3 linked regions of the Macaca mulatta genome follow. The protein of the gene in region 3 purifies or fractionates together with the protein of the main gene of each other region. This does not show direct contact. Links are inferred from orthologs where the notes say so. Each region holds a gene or a part of one and is shown on either strand. Other genes may lie near its edges.

What was found. The genes of interacting proteins can lie anywhere in the genome.
Region 1: the proteins of RPRD1B (region 3) and POLR2M purify together in Homo sapiens (affinity purification with mass spectrometry; 3 studies listed by BioGRID and IntAct, counting the BioPlex papers as one, with this or other methods). This does not show direct contact. The link is inferred for Macaca mulatta from reciprocal best matches to the Homo sapiens genes RPRD1B and POLR2M.
Region 2: the proteins of RPRD1B (region 3) and RPRD2 purify together in Homo sapiens (affinity purification with mass spectrometry; 4 studies listed by BioGRID and IntAct, counting the BioPlex papers as one, with this or other methods). This does not show direct contact. The link is inferred for Macaca mulatta from reciprocal best matches to the Homo sapiens genes RPRD1B and RPRD2.

Annotation. Positions count from the first base shown.
Region 1 is NC_133412.1:35,015,072-35,022,369, reverse strand, and holds the end of POLR2M (protein GRINL1A), read right to left. Parts: intron 5,976-7,298; coding exon 5,771-5,975; intron 3,758-5,770; coding exon 3,614-3,757; 3' UTR 2,480-3,613; downstream 1-2,479.
Region 2 is NC_133406.1:116,686,300-116,693,970, reverse strand, and holds part of RPRD2 (regulation of nuclear pre-mRNA domain-containing protein 2), read left to right. Parts: intron 1-5,011; coding exon 5,012-5,112; intron 5,113-5,803; exon of another isoform or gene 5,804-5,976; coding exon 5,977-6,054; intron 6,055-7,321; coding exon 7,322-7,374; intron 7,375-7,671.
Region 3 is NC_133415.1:90,928,959-90,936,629, reverse strand, and holds part of RPRD1B (regulation of nuclear pre-mRNA domain-containing protein 1B), read right to left. Parts: intron 5,220-7,671; coding exon 5,044-5,219; intron 1-5,043. UniProt on the Homo sapiens protein: Interacts with phosphorylated C-terminal heptapeptide repeat domain (CTD) of the largest RNA polymerase II subunit POLR2A, and participates in dephosphorylation of the CTD by RPAP2. Transcriptional regulator which enhances expression of CCND1.

The DNA.
Region 1 (7,298 bases), on a different chromosome or scaffold from region 3:
GAAGAAATCCAGTGCCCAATAAACATAACAAATGCTCATATGCCATTTCTAATCAGGGAAAGGTAAAATAAAACCACAATGAGGTCGGGGGTGGTGGCACACACCCGTAATCTCAGCACTTTGGGAGGCGGAGGCAGGCAGATCATGAGGTCAGGAGATCAAGACCATCCTGGCTAACACAGTGAAACCCCGTCTCTACTAAAAATACAAAACATTAGCTGGGCGTGGTGGCATGCGCCTATAGTCCCAGCTACTCGGGAGGCTGAAGCAGGAGAATCATTTGAACCCAGGAGGCAGAGGTTGCAGTGAGCCAAGATCACACAACTGAACTCCAGCCTGGGTGACAGAGCGAGACTCCATCTCAGAAGACAGAAACACACACACACAATGAACGCCTACTATATAAACATATTGGCTAAAGTTAAAATCTGGCAACACCAAGTGTTTGATGAACAAGCACTCACACATCATGGAAGCAGAGGAGGGAATATAAAATTTTAAAGGTATGCATACCTTATAACTGAGCAATTCCACTCCTAGGTACACATTCTATGGAAACATGTTTACGTGCACAAAGATGCTCACTGAAGCATTACTTATAATAGACAAAAACTGAAAATCTCAAAGTACTCATCAAAGTGGAATAATAGTGGTACTAATGAAATGGCACATTACACAGCAATGAAAATGAATGAAACACACCATGTGACATGAATCTTACATGCAATGTTGAAAGACACCAAACACAACATACAATATTCTATTTTTATGTAAGTCAAAAGTGAGCAAAACGTAAACCATATTGTTACACACATAACTGGTAAAATAATTCTTAAAAGGACAAAGGGAGAATTTAAGTCAGAATAGTTACCTCTGGGGGAAAGAGTGAGTGTCAAGAGGGGACAAAAGGAGATTTTGGAGTGCTGGCAGGACCTCCTCTGCATCTGGTTTGTGATTACACAGCTGTTGCTTTACCCATTAAACTCTGTTTTAAGTACTTATTTGTAGGTTATATTTCACAAAATTTAAAAGAACAAGGGAGAACCTGTACTTCCAAATATTAACACCAATTAAAGCGATAATTATTGACAGTGTGGAAAAAACCCAGAAGGCCCAGAAATTGGCCTAAGATACAAAAGACATAAGAATTTAATATTCTATAAAAATAGCATTACGAATCAGAGGGGAAATGGTGGTTTCAGATACTGAACCAATTGGTAAACTCTTTGAAATAAAATCAAATCCCTACCTTATATAATATACCCAAATACATTTGAGATGGATTAAAAATTTCCTTTTCACCCCAAACTTGTACTGATTTAGTTAATGTATATAAACAAAATTTAAATTCCTTTTAAAGACAGGTGTAGAAGTGAAATAAGAAAATACTAGAAGAAGAAAAGGACATTTATCCATTCTTGGATTACAAAAATAGTTTCAAGCACATATACAAAGGTAGACTCCTAAAGAAAACAACTTCTACACTAAAATATCACAAACTATGTTAAATGACAAGGCTAAAAAAAAGTTACAATATATGACAAAGGACGCACATTCTTAAGAACTTACAAGCCAAGAAAAGAGCAAATTCACCAGGTAACAGAAAAAATATGAATGAGCAATTCTCAAAAGAATGAATACAGAATAGCCAATGAACGTGGAAAAAAAACACAACCTTCACTAAGTAATAAAAAAAATACAAATTTTAAATGTAGCCCTTTTCTGTAATTATTCAATTTCCAAAGATTTTAAGTAGTAATTTTCAATTCTGAGCGTTGGATATATTGCTAATAGGAATGTAAATGAACATGATCTCTGCAGTGAGTGATATATAAAGATTCTCGAAAACACTTTCACCTAACAATTTCATTTCTAGAGCGGTCTCTTCTGGAAATAAGTCATTTTGTATAGATGTGATTATTTTAAGATGTTAATCACATCACTATTTACAGATTACATTATAATAAATAATCAAATTGCTGAATAGGGAATCAGTCTTAAAGTTATGGTATATCCATGAAATAAAATATCCTACAGCTATCTAAAAAGCAAGATACTTAATATGGGAAAATGTTGACAATACATAGAGCAGACCACAAAGCAATGTACATTATGATTGCATTTTTGAGAAAATAAATGTATAACTATGATTAGAAAAATAAGTAAAACCACAACATCAAAATGTTAACAGAGGTTATCTCCCTAGGTGGCAGGATTACAGGGAACTGTGTGTCCAGGCACATGAACTCTTCCATATCATCCAGCTTTCCACAAGTAACATCAAATTTTATGCTGCAAAATCATTTACTATTAGTTTTAAGAACTAAAACTAATGAGACTCTTAGGTCAGTATACTTTTCACATTTGCTTGAGGTGGGTGAGGACTGAAAGCAATAACTACACCTGGAAGCAAATGTGAACAGTCTTTTTCAAAAGTAAAAGTATTTAATTAAGTCCCAGTAAAACATCACCATTAGCATTTGAAGTTGTTCTAATTAATATTTTATTCTTCAACACTTTTAAAGACTCCAATACATTAGACAAAGAATTTTTTGATAATGTAAGTTAATTTCTCTGGAGACAACCATATAATCCTCTAAAATGACATGAACATTTATATATGAGACTGAAGTTTCTGCAGTCTATATCTGCCTCTTTGGGGGGAAAAAAGTAAAGTACTGACAATTGTAACAACAATAACAAAAAAAATGCTTTCCTTACCAAACATTAATGTTCTGTACATGAACCTATCATCTGTGACAGCAAGGAACTCAAGCCAGGTGATGCACAAGCCTTCACCTAGCTCAGTTAGCCTGGACTTTTCCTGTACCAGATTTGCCTGAAGTAACATGAGGTTATTTAAAAAGACCTCCACCTAGGTTGCAGTGAGCCAAGATAGTGCCCCATTGCACTCCAGCCTGGGCGACAGAGCAAGACTCTAAAAAAAAAAAAAAAACCCAAACCAAACAAACAAACAAAAAAAAAAACTTCCACCTTCCAGCATCTACTCAAAAGGGAATTCCTTCCTAATCAGAAGAGAGAGAACATTCTTCCTAAGGGAAGACAGAAAAAGGAGAAGAGCATTTGTTAAGCATTCTCCATGCATGTCTTCCTAAGTATTTCACATCCAATGTCTCAATAACCCCATGCAAACATGCATACAATTCTTTAGACTGCTCCCTTCATTACCCAAAAGAGAAGGGAACTATGTCTTCCTAATTGATTTTGGGTGCCTGGAACTAAGTATTTCACTGAAAGACATGTAATAAATGCTATTTGATAGTTAAGAATAAGGAAAAAAGCAAAGTTCTCTCTTTTCATTTGGCTTAAAGAAAAAAAGTATGTTCTACTATATACTAAAATATCAGACCAATACACAATATATTGCAAAATTTTAATACCATGTGGTTAAACACAATATTCAAAAATTAAACTTTTCAAGCACATGAAAGTCATCTTCTGAAAGACAAACTGGGATTTTTTTTAATAACTACCTTTGTGTAACTTTATAAAATTACTTCCCTCAACAATATCTGACACTGATCTTGATACTAGTTAGAAAGTCTGATGTAAGATGATGACACCTCAACGTCAGTGATTTAGGAGATTATCTTCAGAATTCATCAGAGGACCAATCGTCATCTTCATCCCTTACTTCTCGGTATCTCCCTGAAGACTCCCCTTCTGGATTATAACTCCGCATTTTAATATTCAGTCTTTCAGCTAATTTTTGCGCTGCGAGCTTTGCTTGCATCTCCTTTAAAACAAAGAGCAAAGCAAAAAGTTACACGTTCACATCTCTTCAATTTTTCAATGGGAAGTTATCTAGAATCAGCGATATGAGGGGTACTGACACCTCACCGAGTGCTCCCTTGGGCAATACAAGCCTGTTGGCTGTGCCCTATCAGACACAACTGGGTAATGCTTCTGACAGCCACCAGCCTGCTACAGTTGAAGTTACTGACCTCCATTAATATACAACATTGCATTGAAATACATTCCTCTATATAAGAAACTGAGTAATCAGCTTAGCACAACAACAGTTATAAATGCAGATGCATTAAATATGTGGGCACATGTACATGTATACACGCTCACATAACAATGTGACCTATCAAATGTCAAAAATGATTAATATTGTCTAGATTTCTACAACTGACAGAACCTTCTTCCCTAATAAAAATCATGACTTCTGGACTTGGGAATTACATTTCAATGGCAAAATGAAAATTAAGAAATTAATACTAAAAAGCTGACTATTCCTCTCCAAATAAAGTCCTACAGCAACTAGTATCTAATAAAAAGTCCAAGTAAATTTCAGACACTGGCAAAGTACTTAAAAACTGCTAAGGACTTCACCACCAACTCATGGTAGGTGGCAATGTCATTCCTAATTCTGTTCTTCCCTTTTCTCATGCTTTCTTGAGTTTCTTGATGTCTTCCTCTTCAAGCCATGAATATGGGTAAGTAAAAGTGGGAGCTATTACCTCTGCCAAGAAAACCAATTTAAAGATAAAGGGTTTAATTCAACCTAAAAATATCTTAGGATGGGCATTTAAGAGCCCAGAGACAATAAACACTTCCTCAATGCTACGGTCATAACTAGGCAGTAATTTTAATGCACTGAGAGAAAGAAATATGGGTTTTTTGAAAAAGAGCACCTTGAAAATGCCAATCCATGCCAAGGCTTTTATGAAAAGCCAAGGCAGATTAACAGCCTGTTTTGCTGGGTTTTTTTTGAGACAGGGTCTCACTCTGTCACCCAGACTATACAAAGTGCAGTGGTGCGATTGCAGCTCACTGCAGCCTCGACCTCCTGGGCTCAAGCAATCCTCCCACCTCAGTCTCACGGGTAGCTGGGACCACAGCTGCATGCCACAATGCCCGGCTAATTTTTTGGTAAAGATGGAGTCTAGCTATGTTTCCCAGGCTGGTCTCGAACTCCTGAACAGCCTGGTGTGATACTGGCTGGTACACTAGTACCTGACTAAAATCTAGCTAAGCAACACCTAGGAAGTGAGACAGGATACTGTTCTCCTGGAGGCTAAAATTGTTACTAAATACTTCTAAACTTTTCTATTCCCCTGTGGTGCTTCACACTTATTTTCTCCCATCCCATTACTCTGTATACAAACTCTCAACATATAAGTTTAAAGTTCAATGCAAAACACATGGAAACAAAGTGCTATGCAAAATTGATTAAGTTGCCAAAAGCAGATTTTTTCTCTTCACATAGGCCTGCGGATTATGCTCTGAAACAGTGTCTCACTGTCTGCTGGCTATACAACATTATCCTCCCACTCCTTCTATGCCCTCCCCTGTACTGCAGGAGATGGAAGCCTGGGAACTACATTTTCCTCATTCTCTAACAAGGGGTCTGGGTTACAGTCCACCACTCAGAAGCTGTCACATGGGTTTTACAAGGTGAAAGGGAGAGATGCGATGCTACTACTATCCTAACAGGAACAGGCAGGTACATGAGCTTCAAGACACGAAATTCTACAATAGTCTCCCCACATTTCCTGGCAAATCACCACTTTCATGTTGAAGGTAGCTGTGATCATCTCTAGCCATTTCCTGCAGTTCTAGCAACTTTATGACTCTGAAAACTAATGGCATAGGTCTCTGAAAACTAGTGGCATAGGTCTGAGCTCATGGAAGCACCTAATCCCCTCTATTCCATTCCTTCCTCCTTGAACCTGGAGTAAATTCTGGCTTATGTAAGAGGCACCAAACAAACAGACAAGAAAAAAAATAATACTCTAAATACCTCATAATTCTGTTTCTGTTGTTTCTGAAGTGCCAAAGATTCTTCTATGGAGAGCAGCTGCGTAGGCATATGGTGAAGCGGTAGAAGCCGAGCTGCTGTGATGTCATCAAGATGCTGCTTATCCCTGCACCGCCGCTCTTCTGAGGAAATAGGAGACCCGCTCTTCTGACAATGACTAGACGAATCATTTTGTCGAAAAGGTAACCTGATGAAAAGAAAACTTGTGCTATATAATCAGACTATTTTATTTGTAGACACATTTAAAACATTCACACAAATGAGCTTTACCTCAGCAATTAACTCTCCTCCAAAGGTAATAGTAAGCAGTTTACCAGTATTTATTGCTCTAACAAACAGGGGTGTGTTTGTGTGCACACAGGCTCTTGCCTTTTCCTTCCTTATTCAAACCTTATATTTCATCTGGAGCTTTTTTTTTTTTTCATGTATCATTCAAAGAACATTTGCAAAAGGGCTTATTGCCCAGTAGAAAGAAAGAAACATGTAAAGTTTCAGTGCAATATAATACCAGAGGTACTATGGCAGATATCTCAACAAGATACACTGGAACATTAGGAAATGGCCAGTTCTAGTGGGAGACAGGGAGGCTGTAAGAAAAGCTTCTAAAAAGCTTTGAAGAGTCTTGGAATAACTGCTTACCATTTAAATAAGGAGAGAAGTGCATCCCAGCAAGGGGAGTGAGAGAAAGTACAGAAGGTAGAGAGACTCAGCTTTTCTGGCTACACAGAAAAGACAGCCAGAAAGAAGGCTGGGAAGTAGGCTGGGCCCAGACTGCAATGAAGAGTTCTCCGTAACAAATTCAGATTTCCATCTTACAAATTTCACTCTGGCAGCAGTGGAGACTGACTGGTAGTTAATAAGACTAGAGGTAGAAGAGGCCACAATTATAGCCCGAGAGAGATGAGAGTCTTCACTTCGACAGAAGATGAAGAACAATTATAGAGATGAAGATCAAAGAAATAAGTAGGTCTTCATGGCTAGCAGATACGGAGATGAGAAAAATGGAAGATACCTTAGGGGAAGAAAACAAAGAACGTAGTGGTCCTATTAGGAAATATGGAAATTACCTTGGAAAGAAACAGAAGTTCCACTTTGTACATGATTAAGCTGAGGTGCCTAGGAACACCCAAGTGGTCAAGTTTCATGGTTAATTGGCTATGCAAACCTAAAGTTCTGGGAAGATCTGGGATAGAGGTGGACAGGGGTCAGCCTCCAGCATCCAGGTGATACATGAAACCAGAAGAGTATGCAGAAGGAAGAGCAGAAAGGACCCAAGGACACTAAATGACCCCACCTTCCAACCTCCAAGCCACTTCTCACATGGAACCCTCTAAATCCTTGTCTATGGCATAAGGACTCCTCAAAGCCCTGTCTTTCCTGTTCTCCTCTAACTATACAGAAGGCTCCCTGTCTCTTCAACTTCCTGAATTCTTGGTAGCCCTCATCACTATTCCCTTACCTCTCTCCCACTCCCAGCTAAATGACCGTAATACAGAACTGGGATTAATGT
Region 2 (7,671 bases), on a different chromosome or scaffold from region 3:
ATCTGTAATCCCAGCACTTTGGGAGTCCGAGATGGGAAGATCTCTAGAGCTCAGGAGTTCGAGATCAGCCTGGGCAACATTGCAAGACCTAGTCTCTATTATTAAAAAAAGAAAGAAAGACATTATAAGGCTATGTCTTATAATGTTGCCACTAATAGTGATTCCTTTTATGGATCTGGGCAAAGGGAATTGAAAACCTTCTGGAAAGGATTCACCATTCTAGATGGCATGAAGAACATTTGTGATTCATGGGGAGAGATCAAAATATCAGTATTAGGCCTAGGCATGGTGGTTTACGCCTGTAATCCCAACACTTTGGAGGCCGAGGTGGGCAGATCGTGAGGTCAAGAGATCGAGACCATCCTGGCCAGCATGGTGAAACCTCGTCTCTACTAAAAATACAAATATTAGCCAGGTGTGGTGGTGCACGCCTGCAGTTCCAGCTACTCAGGAGGCTGAGGCAGGAGAATCCCTTGAACCCGGGGGCAGAGGTTGCAGTGAGCCGAAATCGCACCACTGCCCTCCAGCCTGGCCACAGAACGACACTCGCTCTGTCTCCAAAAAATATATATATATGTATATTATATATACATTTATAATGTACCTACATTATATATACATTTTATATATATAAAATATGTAAATAATATATATTTATAAAAACGTAAAACAGGAGTTTGGAAGAAGTTGATCCCATCACTCATGGATGTCTTTGAGGGGGTTCAAAACTTCAATGGAGGAAGTAACTAAAGGTGTGGTGGAAATAGCAAGAGAACTAGAATTGGAAATAGAACCCAAAGATGGGACTGAATTGCTATAATCTCATGAATAAAGCTTGAACAAATGAAGAGTTGCTTCTTATGGATGAGCAAAGAAAGTGGTTTTGCTGGGCACAGTAGCTCACGCCTGTAATCCTAGCACTTTGGGAGGCAGAGGCAGGTGGATTGCCTGAGCTCAGGAATTCAAGACCAGCCTGGGCAACATGGTGAAACCTCATCGCTACTAAATATACAAAAAATTAGCTGGGTATGGTGGTGGGTGCCTGTAGTCCCAGCTTCTCAGGAGGCTGAGGCAGGAGAATTGCTTGAACCCAGGAGGCAGAGGTTGCAGTGAGCTGAATTCGTGCCACTACACTCCAGCCTGGGCAGCAGAGTGAGACTCTGTCTCAAAGAAAAAAAAAAAGAGTTTCTTGAGATGGAATCTACTGATGAACATGCTGTGGACATTGTTCAAATGACAACAAAGGATTTTAGAATATTGCATTAATGGAGCAGCAGCAGAATTTGAGAGGACTGACTCCAGTTTTGAAAGAAACTTATGGGCAAAATGCTATCAAGCTATATTGCATGCTACAAAAAAAATCTTTGTGAAAGGAAGAGTCAATTTATGTAGCAAACCTCATTATCTTAAGAAATTGCCAGAGCCACCTCAGCCTTCAGCAGTCACTACCATGATCAGTCAGCAGCCATCAACATCAAGGCAAGACCCTCCACCAGCAAAAAGAATATGATTTGCTGGAGATTCAGATGATTGTTAAGGTTTTTTGAGCTACAAAGTATTTTTTTAACTAACATGTATATTATTTTTAACACATAATGCTATTACACACTTAATTGACGTATAGTGTAAATGTAACTTTTTAAAAATTTATTTGTTTGTTTTTTAGAGACAGAGTCTTACTCTGTCACCCAAGCTGGAGTGCAGTGGCTTGATCAGGGCTCACTGCAGACTCGAACCGCTGGTCTCAAGCAATCCTCCCACCTCAGCCCTCCAAGTGGCCAGGACTACAGGTGTACCCCACTACGTCTGGCTAGTTTTTGTATTTTTTTCCTGAGACAGGGTTTTGCCATGTTGCCCAGACTGGTCTCAAACTCCTGGACTCAATCTGCCAGCTTCAGCCTTCCAATGTGCTGGAACTGTAGGCATGAGCCACTGTGCCCAGCCTAAACCTTACAATTTTCTAGAGGTTTATTAACCAGAAAGAACAGACTCTACTGTCATTTCTTATATTTTTTTTTTGCTGAGATTCTTTCTCTCATTATAAAAAAAAAAAACCAGAAAAGTCGAGCCGCGCATCGTGGCTCACATCTGTAACCCCAGCACTTTGGGAGGCCGAGGCGGGCAGATCATGAGGTCGGGAGTTCGAGACCAGCCTAGCCAATACGGTGAAACCCCGTCTCAACTAAAAAAAAAAAAAATACAAAATTTAGCCGGGCATGGTGTCACGGGCCTGTAGTCCCAGCTACTTGGGAAGCTGAGGCGGAAGAATCACTTGAACTCGGGAGGCGGAGGTTGCAGTGAGCGGAGATTGCACCACTGCACTCCGGTCTGGGTGACAGAGCAAGACTCATCTCAAGAAAAAAAAAAAGTCATGTGTTGCTTAACATCAATATATTCTGAGGCCGGGTGCGGTGGCTCACGCCTATAATTCCAGCACTTCGGGAGGCCAAGGTGGGCAGATCACTTGAGGTCGGGAGTTCAAGACCAGCCTGGCCAACATGGTGAAACCCTGTCCCTACGGGAAAAAAAAAAAAAAAAAATTAGCTGGGCATGGTGGCAGGCACCTGTAATCCCAGCTACCCGGGAGGCGGAGGCAGGACAATCGCTTGAACCCAGGAGGCAGAAGTTGCAGTGAGCTGAGATCACACCATTGCACTCCAGCTTCAGTGACAGAGCAAGACTCAATCTCCAAAACAAAAAAAGAATATGTTCTGAGAAATGCGTCATTAGGGAATTTTATCCTGTGAACATCATGGAGTGTACTTACATAAACGTAGATGGTATAGCCTACTAAAAACCGAAGCTATATTGTGTAGCCTATTGCTCTTCGGCTGTAAACCTGCACTGCATGTCACTGTATTGAATACTATAGGCAATTGTAACACAATGGTAAGTACTTACATATCTAAACTTTTTTTTTTTTTAAAACGGAGTCTCGCTCTCTCTCCAGGCTGGAGTGCAGTGGCGCAGTCTCAGCTCACTGCAACCTTCGACTCCCTGGTTCAAGCAATTCTCCTGCCTCAGCATCCCGAGTAGCTGGGATTACAGACATGCACCACCATGCCCAGCTAATTTTTGTATTTTTAGTAGAGACGGCGTTTCACCATGTTGGCCAGGATGGTCTTGATCTCCTGACCTCTTGATCCGCCGGACTCGGCCTCCCAAAGTGCTGGGATTAACAGGCGTGAGCCACCGTGCCCGGTCATATCTAAACATTATAGAACACAGAAAATTGTGAAAAGTATAAAGAAAAATTCACTCACTTTCACCAAATGGAGATTTACAAAATAACAATTTCCTTTTTTTTTTTTTTTAAGATAACAATTTCAGTATTACTATCTTCCAGTCTTTTTCTTCTATAAATGTTAGCATTGTATTTGAAACCAGTCACACGCATAGTCAGGCATACCTTGGAGATATTGAGGTTTCACTTCCAATCCACCACAATAAAGCAAATATTGCAGTAAAGCATGTTACATGCAGGTGGATCACTTGAGCCCAGGAGGTTGAGGCTGCTGTGAGCCAAGATCACGCCACCATAGTTCAGCCTGGACAACTGAGTGAGACCCTGTCTCAAAAAAAAAAAGAAAATTATAAGGTTTAATACAATTTTCTCTGTTTCTTACCCATTCTTAGGCAAGAAAAGAAATTCTTTGTGAATACATGATGATATGGATTCATAGACTCTCATCCTTGAAAGAGGCCTTAAATTTGACATAGCTTTTTTTTTTTTTTTTTTTGAATCATATACTTCAATCTCCACATGGTTTGGTGGATTCACTTAGGGAGAGGTTAAATTCCTGTTTTGTCTTTTGACAGATCTATTAAATTATTAGAATGGTTTCTGTTCTTTGGCAGATCTGTTAGAATAAAATTTCTTTTCCCTATGGCTTCATACTTTTGTCCTTGTTTTGCTTCCTGAGATCACACCAGTTTGATTCCTCTTCCTGACAACGGTTATGCCCTTCCTGCATTGTTTTTTTTATATTTCTTTTACATTTCACAAAGCATAATTAAAATCTTAAATTATTAATTTTATTGGTAATTATTTATCATTCACTTCTACTTTAACTTTTTTTTTTTTTTTTTTTTTGAGACAGGGTCTTGCTTTGTGGCCCAGGCTGGGTTGCAGTGTTATGATCACCGGTCACTACAGCCTGGATCTCCTGGGCTCAAGCGATTCTCTTGCCTCAGGCTCCCATGTAGGAGATACTACAAATGTGTGCCACCACATGTGGCTAATTTTTTCATTTTTAGTAGAGATGAGGTCTCTCTCTGTATACCAGGCTGGTCTTAAACTTCCAAGCTCAAGTGGTTTTCCCAGCTCGGCCTTTCAAAGTTGGCCAGACTGGTCTCGAACTCCTGACCTTAGGCAGTCCATCCACCTCGGCCTCCCAAAGTGCTGGGGTGGCAGGCGTGAGCCACTGTGCCCGGCCAACATTTTTTTAAAGTTAGATAGCCAACTTGAACCAGAAGCTCATCTGTGATCCAGCCAGAATAAACCAATACCCTTTACTTCCCTAATTCTTATTGTGTATTCTCATAGTATTATGTAATAGTCTTTTAGAAAACATGTTACAGTATGTGATTGATTCAAGATTTTTTTTCTAAACCTTTAAAAAATGAAAAAATATAGCATTGCTAAACCTTGTCTTCTTATTCAGTACTACTATAATTGTGTTTTAGACCAGGTTTTTCAATCTCTTTTAGAATTCCCGTTGTGTCCACACATTCCCAGCCCTCTCAAGTTCATATCCATCAAAAAGCTCTCAGTATGTCATCTGTAGTTTCATCTATGTCATTTATAAAAGTGTTGAATGGTAATTTAAGATTCTTAAAATCTTTAAAGTTTAAGATTTCTTTAGTCCTGGATATTATAGAAAAAAAGTTTTGAAATAAACATCAGAAGAAATTTGGAAAATAATTTTATTGATAACTTTATTTTCAGATTTCTAGTTTGGAATAGAAGTCAAGGTTTTTATAGTCTGTATTACTTTTTCTTTGTTTTCAGGGATCCATCTGTCTCTAAGTCTGTAGAACGAATCTTTAAAATCTGGGAAGATAGAAATGTATACCCAGAAGAGATGATTGTGGCATTGAGAGAAGCTTTGAGTAAGTGTCTTTTTTCTCTCCTAAAAGAAAATTTTGAGTCAGTCTTTACAATTACATAATTTTATAGATATGGTCATGTTGTATAATAGTGAAAAATTAAGTTTTGAATCTAGCCCTATTTGTTTAAAATTAAATACTTTTGAGAAACCTAGATCTGTTTGAATTAAAATGTAAATAGAATTGGTTTTAGGGATGGGGTTGGATTTTGTTTTTTAGTGATAACAAAAGTCAAGCATATTAAGTGGTGATAGCCATCTGGTTATTTTCCTGCATTTGCATTGAGTGTTTCAAATGGTTCATTGTTTGTGTTAATAAATACTGCCCTGTGCCCTTACTGTTGGAGAATTTTTCACAGGGTGTCAATTCTCACTAAGCTGTTTGGTAGTAAGCATATATCGGCAGTCTTTAGACTGTCTTTTGATTTAGATTTACAGTAAGTTGTGTACTGTTTTGTTAAAAGGAATTTAATTCTTATGTATTATATGCTTGTAATTAAGTTATTGAGTAGAAGTTGGTGATAATCTGCTACCATGACCGTCATTTGACTAGAAATTTGCTTTAAAAATGGCATCTTCTAAGAAGCTGTTAAATTCTTCATTTTAAGTTGTTAATTGGTATTTTTAAGCCTCCTTCCCTATTTTTTTCAGAATTGGTAATTTCACTGATGATAAAAATCATGTTTATTTGACAGCTTCTTAGATCGGGTAGGAATTTCTATTTTTTCATAAAAATGAAAGAAAAGGAAAGAAAGAAACAACACACAGTCTCGGATTGCCTTTTTTCATGCTGCAACTTTGGCACTGAAGTGGACAGACAGAACAGCTTCCCATAATGCCAGATTGCAAAAACTGAAATGTTTTCCAGGTACCACTTTCAAAACTCAGAAGCAGCTGAAAGAAAATCTGAACAAACAACCGAATAAGCAGTGGAAGAAATCACAAAGTAAGGAACAAAATCTCAACTAATATAAAATTACCTCCTCTTTTTGGAGCAGAAGAAAATGTAGACCATTTGACATCGTACCTGGCATAAACCATGGGCAAGCCTGTTTTCCAGGCCTGGGAGGCTCCCAGTGACCTATGATAAACAAGCCATCATGGAGTTACTTCTTAAAAAAAAAAAGCAAACAAAAACTACACTTTAAAACAAAGGAAATGCAGAAAAGGGTTTAATTGAGTGAAGATTCAAGAGTAGTTGGGGGATTGAAAGAAGAAAAAAATACTTGATAGTGTCCAGGCTAATTTTCAGGTTCAAGGATATATGATGTTAGAGGCAGCTGGCATTAAACAACAGATCTGAAGAGGAGACTAGGCATTAAGAAGCATTTCTGTGGGAACCATGAAATCTCCAGATTTGGGGGATATACTCTACCAAATTAGACGTGGGCCTCAGATCCTGGCCAGAAGCTCATTCTGTAATGGGAGCTCCTGTTATATTTATCATATTTACCCAGCATGAGATCAAGGGAATGGAATACTGCATGTGATAGGCTGCTGTGGGCAAACTGAGGAATATTGAGAGAGACTTGAAGGTATGGAGGGAACAAAGTAAAAGAGAGTGAGAATTGGGAGGTAAAACAAGACACTTGGGATGGTTTTGCTCCAGCGAGCATATGATATCCATCATGATTAAGGGAGTCCTCAGACATCCTTTTGGTCATAAGTTGCATGCTTAGGAACAACAAGAGTCGTCATTTCAGCCAAAGTTCAACCACAGTGTTAATATACCTAGAAGTTTCCTTGCCTATTTTTGCTATGAATTGAGTCAGCAGAAAAAGAAATTCAAAGGATAAATATATAGGAATAGAGTTATTTGTCACTAATTTTCTTCAGCCAGTGCTCAGGATTAATTGGATGTCCTGTTCCTGAACACTCTTAATTTGAGGTATTTAGATCCTCTTACACCCACACTAGGAAAAAAAGGTACTTGATGTATCTCGGTGTCTCCAAATCAATAATTCTAGGACTTTATGACTTCAAGGGTCTGTTGGAGGTAAGTAGATTAGGTCTGTCTAAATAGCATATTTTTACATTGACCATGTTTAGGAGTGTTCAAATTTCCTAGTCCATTATTTATTTTAGGAATTATGACTTAAATGTGCATGTTGCCATATGTTCAGAGTATATCCTTAACTATAGAGCTAAAATTTTTCCTATTAGTCAACTTTTTGTGTCTGTATTCTTAATGACCTTTTGTTTAATTCCAACAGCATCTACAAATCCAAAAGCTGCTCTCAAGTCTAAGATAGTTGCGGAATTTCGAGTAAGTTACAGAATTTGTTTAATACAGCAAAGTATTATTCACCCCTTTTGTATTATAGTTTCCTGTATAGTCCAATAAGATTTATTTGTATTCAGTTACACCTGTCATGTTTTAAACATGCGGGAACTGTTCTAAAGGAACCCAGATTGGGATTAGATTGCTTGGCATTTTATCTGTTCCCCTAATGGTAGAAATAACCTTCTTCCAGTATATCTATTATCAGCTGAGTTCTGTATTCAATTTATGCCAGCAAGAGAGTTTATTTTCCTGTGAAACTCTTTCTAAATTAGAATTTGC
Region 3 (7,671 bases):
GCACTTTGAAGTGTATGGTTAATTTATGTTATATGAATTTCACCTTAACTAAAACAAATCTGCAGCTTGTAACAAATTTCTCAAGAGCTCTTCCCTGTGTGGCATATCATCTTTGTGTGTGCACCATGTGGCACGTGCGTCAACACAGGACTATCTCCTTTCAGTTCCAGATCACTGACAGTCAGACACCACGATCTGAATAAAAATCGCAGTTAAGGCCAGGCATGGAGGCGCATGCCTGTAATTCCAACACTTTGGAAGGCCAAGGCAGGTGGATCGCCTGAGACCAGGAGTTTGAGAAGAGCCTGGCCAACATGGCAAAACCCCATCTCTACTAAAAATACAAAAACTAGCTGGGTGTGGTGGCGTGCGCCTGTAGTCCCAGCTACTAGGGAGGCTGAGGCACAAGAATCGCCTGAACCTGGGAGGCAGTGTGCTGCAATTGCTCTACTGCACTCTAGCCCTGGGCAACAGAGCAAGAGTCTGTCTCAAAAAACAAACAAACAAACAAAAAAATCACAGTTAAGAAGGTAAAACTGCAGGTTCCTGACCTTTTTTCTTTCCTTAATACTTGTACAAATAGGTTTCTTTCTCACACACACACTCTTCCCCATGCACTGATCATGCTAATGGAACATGTCTGTATTATGCTTTATTCACACTGACAAGACAGGAACCCTATCCAACCCACTCAGACTATGTCTTATGAGCTTTGAGCAGACATCTGGGAGTAATGCAGTCACCTCTGTGAACCACAAACAAAGCTTATCTTTGCTCTGGAAGTGAAGCTAGAAGGCTTTTCTGGTACCTTTGGCCTCTGCCTTTTTGAATGGGCTTTCTTCTATACCCTCCACATTCTCTAACCTCCTCTTTGGGCTGCTATTTGTGCTTCCTTCCACAAGCCTTCTTTTCCATTTCCAGGTTTTCTTATGTTCATGACAAAAACATTAGCAACAGATTTTCAGCAGCATTCCTTCTACCCTTGCCTGGTTTTTAAGGCCCCACATCATACGCCAAATCAATCATGACACCCAGAAGCAAAAGTCAAAAACAAACAAAAAAAGATGATTCTCTCAAAACAAAGCATAATTCTGCTTAAAGGAAAAAAGAAAAGTAGCACAAAGGAGAAAACACACAGAAATTTCTAAAAATGGTTACCTTTCCGAACTAACATATTCTTTACAACCAATCATTAAATCCGATTTGTTAAGTCACTTTTAACGCAAACTAAAAAAAAACCCTTTTCTCTATAGAAAAAGGTTACATCAAGTGATGGATTTCAGTCAAAGAACAAATATTTATTGAGGAACAAATATGTTCCTGGCACTGCGAGAGCACTCAAAGAGCACACAGTCTAGCAAACTTCGGGAGACCTGCTGAAGGCATTATAGTTTCACAAACTGTCCATGATTTGATAAGTCTCACATTTTTAATAAGCATCTGATCAAATTATTATTAGCATCTTCATTTTTTTCTTGGTCTATTTCAGTGTAGACACAAGTGAGAATATTTTCCTTACTGACAATCTTTCTTGAATTCTACCTTAACCCCTTGTTTGCTGCTGTTTCCCCCTGACTCGAGCATAAGCCCCTTGAGGGGAGAAGTGCATCGTGCCCATCTTTGTTGCCAACATCTGGTTGGCACAGACTTTGCTGACTCCCTGAATGAATACATAGCTTCCTAAAGAGCACAGACCTTAATCTCCCCCTGGTGGTCTCCAGCACTTCCTTTCCACATCTGCCTTTGTCCTTCTTCAGATACCGTCTGGTCCAGTCTAACTGCTCCCCATTTATAAACACGTTTCTCTTCTTCAACTATTATTTCCTTTTACAAAAAGGTTTTATTGCTTGACGGCAAGTTTGGACCTACCTTAAACCACAAACAGAACCACCAACTGCCTCCTTAATCTACATTATGTACAATCAAGTGGTTTGGCTTTATGTTCACCTGTGCTGTTTATGCCAGAATATGATTTCCTGGAGGGAAGAAACACAATCTCCTACTTTGAGTCGTAATTCCCTCTTTTACATCCTAGGCTCTGAATCATCATACGCCCAATCCTGACATGTAGGAACCACTGACGTAAAATTCCCAAGTGAAAGAGAAAAAGATGCTTATTACATAAAGATACAAAATTAAAAAGGAAAGCACAAAGAAACCTAAGTATATTAGAGCTTTGGGAAGAAAACAGACTCCCAAGCAAATAACCACTTCTCCAAAGAGTTCTGAGAATTTCATGTATGTATACACTGAAGGCAATGAAAAGATTAAAAAATAAAATATTTAATTAGCATTCTGATTTGGCAGTTTTAAAATGGACTGGCTGTGTTACAAAAATGAATGCTAAAAAAGTGGGTATACTTTATGTACTGCCCCATCACACAGACAGACTTTTGGACAATTTGAAGGAATTCACAGTATTCATGCATCTTTCAAGTGGCATACATTTATCAAGTTGGGCCACCACCACAGGGATGTGATGGGACAGGACCAGTCTATTACAGGGTGAGAAAAATCTTAGGTTCAGGAGAACAGACTGCCTACATTTTTAGCAAACGTGGATAAAGAAAAGAACTAAAACCATCTCTCAAATCTTATATTGTGAGGCGGGCTGATCACTTGAGGTCAGGAGTTCGAGACCAGCCTGGCCAATATGGTGAATCCCTGTCTCTGCTAAAAATAAAAAAAAATAAAAAAAATTAGCCGGGCGTAGTAGTACATGCCTACAATCCCAGCTACCCAGGAGGCTGAGACGGGGGATTGGTTGAGACTGGGAGGTGGAGGTTGCAGTGAGCTGAGATCACGTCACTGCACTCCAACCTGAGTGACAGAGTGAGACTCCATCTCAGAAAAAAACCTTATATTGTATCTAGTCATTTGCTTTCTTTAATGCAGCAAATCGGCTCTATTTTTACAATAAATGGTTCTGCTCATATGCCTGGGAGACATGGTTTGAGATAAGAACCTTCAGTTCAGACTCTGTACTTTGGTTCCAGTGGTGGGGCCTTCCTGTTCCGCTTCTTCAGCAACGGAATGCCAACACCATTCCACTGAATGAACCAGGCAGAGCAATGTAGACTAGAAAGTTACAGGACGCATCCAAAGCTCTAATCTGTTTCTCCACCTTAATGCCCTCTCATGGTGTCCAGCAAACCACTAGTTCTACAAAAACCAGAATGATTCCCCAACAATACACAGAGGAAAGTGCAACTATGGGGAGGGAAAACAGAACAAAGAGTTAACCAGCTCTACCAACCCGATCTCCTCAAAGACTCTGCCCTCTATGGTTGCTTGCCACGTTCCACCCAACAACAGCTGCTCATGATAATCAATGTCTGACAGATCAGAGAAAGCCCTTAATGTGTCGCCAAGGGGCAGTTCAACAGATGGCATGGTGACTTACAACCAGAATCATTAATTACACTCTCTTATTAGTCCCGGGGCACAGTGCTGAAAATGCTTCCTCAGTGAAAGATGAGCATTTCAGATAAATGACCGTCTGGTACTGCCTGTGAAACTCCCTTTAGGATCTCTGGTCAGTGCCGATGTCTAAATCTAAGCCGTAGGATGTTGACAGCCCTTTCGCACCTTCCACATTCAAGCAGGCTACGAATGTGAAGTTCCTGCTACCACTATGCAACACGGTTCCCAGAATCACTGCAGGTAAGGATACGGTAAAAAGTGCCTGCCACTCATTTCCCCTCAAGTCAGATGACCGTGCTGAAAGGCAAATACAATGATCTCAGCCTCAGAGCTAGCTCAATGTTCCCTCCTTCTGTGCCAGAGCATGTTTCCTGAGCATGGAGGTGACATGGCTCTCCTTGTCCCTTGTCTACTCTGAGAGGGATTTAAGAAGTATTTCTTGAAATACAACATGACCGGCTCTCTAACTCAGAAGTGTCCTCCTTTACAAAACCACTGGCTGCAACTCTTTTCCATATCTCTTGAAAAAAGAAGAGCAGACATTCCTGAAAAGGAAGTGCAGCAGCCCGGGGCAGCAAAAGTTCCCAAACATTCACACTGCTGGCTGTGTTATCCCATGGGACCAAGCACTGAGGGTAAACCACCATGCACTTAACTACGAAACCAAACAAGTGTATGGGGAGGAAATGTTTCTGAACTCCCTCCCCAAGGTCACTCGGACTAATGTCCTCAACCCAGGGTAGAAATGAGTTCTTCCTCTACAGTTTGAGAACTGTGCTTTATAAATACTACTGTGAAATTTAAGAGCTGACTACAGATAGATCTTGGAGGCAGACAACTTCTCAGCCACAGCATGGATACAAGTCAGAAATAAACCTCCAAATGGCCAGGCGCGGTGGCTCATGCCTGTAATCCCAGCATTCTGGGCTGAGACGGGCGGATCACGAGGTCAGGAGATCGAGACCATCCTGGCTAACATGGTGAAATCCCGTCTCTACTAAAAATACAAAAAATTATCCGGGCGTGGTGGTGGATGCCTGTAGTCCCAGCTACTCAGGAGGCTGAGGCAAGAGAATGGCATGAACCCGGGAGGTGGAGGTGGCAGTGAGCCAAGATCGTACCACTGCACTCCAGCCTGGGCGACAGCGAGACTCCATCTCAAAAAAAAAAAAAAAAAAAAAAAACCACACACACACAAAAAACAAAACAAAAACAAAAAAAACCTTCCAAATGCCTTAAAAGAAACGTTTTTCAGCACTTCCCAACTACCACCAAACATACTCTTTGGTTTTCACTGATTTGCTATTGTTTTTATACCTCAATTTATAATTTTTTTAAACATGAGTTCAAACGAAAGCAGTATTAAGATCCTAAGGTTGTGATTAAGAGTTCACTGTTTGTTTCCTACAATCCAGTTTGTTCTGTCCTGGACATATAAGAACATGACTTCAATTTTTAACTGTGCTCAAATAACTACAGTATCTGATGGATATTCAGAATTCACATCATGAATTTTTAAATGATAAAAATGTTGTTAATTAAAGCATAATAAAAACCTCCTAATGTGGGCTACAGGAAGGGAAACGTGGACAGTCTGGGTCTGCCTTTTAATGGACTCACCTCTAGCTTTTTCTCCTTCTCGGACAAAACATCTTTCTGATTCTGGGTATACTCCACCAACATCCGAGCCAGCTGGCGACGGTCCTCCAGCTCTGCCGCCAGGCGCCCGTTATATTCTGCTAGTAACAGACATGCTTCATCTACTGTTTTTGAAAGACGTTCAGCTGCCTCTTTGTCTAAGTACAAATGAGATCAAAAAATAGAGAAAATATACAAATCACATAGGTATGATTAGAAACATTTCTGGGGGAGGTTAACAGTTTCTCTCCCAATATACAGAGTCTAAGAATAAGCCAGAACCTGTGGACAAACAATGAGTTGATTGATCAAGAAATCCAAAGGTATTCACCCTGTCAGCAAGACAGGACACTACTCAATTACCCGAGGTAAGGAAGTGGTACAAGGGAGGAATCTGGCAAAGGCTTTCTAAATGCCTGTTCCTGCAAAAGCTCTCCAGACAAAACAAGCAGAAAGAGATATTGAAGATCATCCGTGAAAAAATCGTTCCTTGCCTCTGAGAATTTCAAGTGCTTTCATTTATATTACAGTTGGCCCCCTATATCTGTGGGTTCTGTATCTGTGGATTAACCAACCATAAATGGAAAATACTCAGACCAAAGAACCCCACAAACCAATAAAAATAACGATTAAAAACCCACAATTTAAAAAATACAGAATAACAACTATTAACACAGCATTTACATTGCATTAGCTATGATAAGTAATCTAGAGAGTATTTAAAGTATATGGGAAGATGTTCGTTGGTTATAGACAAATCCGACACCATTTTATTTAAGGGCCGTGAGCAACCTTGGATTTTGGTATTCTCAGAAGGTCTTGGAACCAAACCCCCATGGATATGGAGGGACAACCGTATTTCATTAAGTAGTCTTTTTACTTTCCATTGGAATAAAAAATAGCGTGCACTTTATCTCTTGGGTGTGGGAACTAAGACCTCCTCCCCGCCAAAAAAACCCTACATGACAGGTTTCAATATGCAGTCAGCTAAGATGCTGGGACTCGAAGCCAGATCTCTAAAATGATCTATAGTACTCTATCTCTTAAACTATGTAAGCCTTGGACCTGGGGATGAATTTCTTCCTACATGCAACAAAATGTAAAGTCTGATAAGAAGGAGGTTTGTAAATGTTTCTGAACATGACTCACAGCAGAAATACACTTATGTAAACACAAAGAAAAATGAAAGCAGGTTTCATAAAATACCCATATACCCATTCTTACTATGTGTGCTCTATCTTCTATTTTATTCCTTTTCCTTTTTTTTTTTTTTTTGAGACGGCGTCTTGCTCTGTTGCCCAGGTTGGAGTGCAGTGGCATGATCTCGGCTCACTGCAAGCTGCACCTCCCAGGTTCAAGCCATTCTCCTGCCTACACCTCCCGAGTAGCTGAGACTATAGGCGCCCACCACCACGCCCATCTAATTTTTTTGTATTTTTAGTAGAGACGAGGTTTCTCTGTTAGCCAGGATGGCTTTATTCCATTTTTTAAAATCTGTTGGTCATTAGCTACCAGACTGATTTCATATCCAATTAATGGGTTGTAACTCATGTTTGGGGATGGAAAAACATTAAGAAAGGGTATTACTGGGAAGAAGTGATAAACAAAGGAGGATCTGCATTTACAAAGAATTGACATAATTAATTACCTGTGGGTGGTGATGAGATTAGAATTTTAAATATGTATACCTCATTTTTAAAAGGCCTAAATAGGTCAAAACAGTAGGTTGGTGCTTTGAAACAAAGGGCATCAGAGACTCCCGCAGTACCATGGGACAGTTCCATGACACTCCCTATGGATACAGGCTGTCAGAGGGGAGAGCTCGCGTTCTCCTAGGGAACTAGGATTTCAGAATTCCCAACACAGTAGCTCTGGCAAACAGCCATGTGGCTTTTAGATGCTTTCTTAATGTGAACATTGCAAGAGGAACTGCTGAAGGATTCCAGATTGGGTGGGATGCCAAAGATTAGGCACCTCTACCCTCCTCAGGGATGGGAAACAAAAGAATGTCCTTGGTGAAAGGGAAGAAGTGAGCCGAATGGAGCACAAAGGAAAGAGATCACCTCATTCACAGAGGATAAAGGACCACCAAACTTCTCCCAGCTCAGTGGCTCATTCCATGAGCAAGCTCCTGGGGTGGTTAGGTTGGTTTTAGTTTTGTTATTGCTTGACTGATCATTTTTTAAAAATGGTTAATTCACTAAGATGTTTAGGTGCCTGTGGCAAAAAATGGCAAATACTAATTTTTAAGATTAAAAAGAAAATCAATTTGCAGCCTCAAGAACTTTTACAAAGGAAATAATTCATTTACACAAATTACAACCCAGAAAAGTAACTTATAATAATTTAGTGAGTTACACAAAATATGCAGTGAAAATGCAGAAGCCAGATGCTCACTTCAGGGGACCTACCCACGTTGTCCGCACGCTCCCTGCTCTCCTTCACCCATCAGAGTGGCAAGTGCCTCTTTCAGCCAGTCCTCCAAGCGGCATGCGCATCCCATTTCCTCTCATCCCATTTCCTCTCGTTTCCTCAAAGACTCAACTTCTGCAGCCGTCCCATGTCTTCCCTACCTCAGCAAATTCTCTCTCTCCCTCCTGAAGACCACCA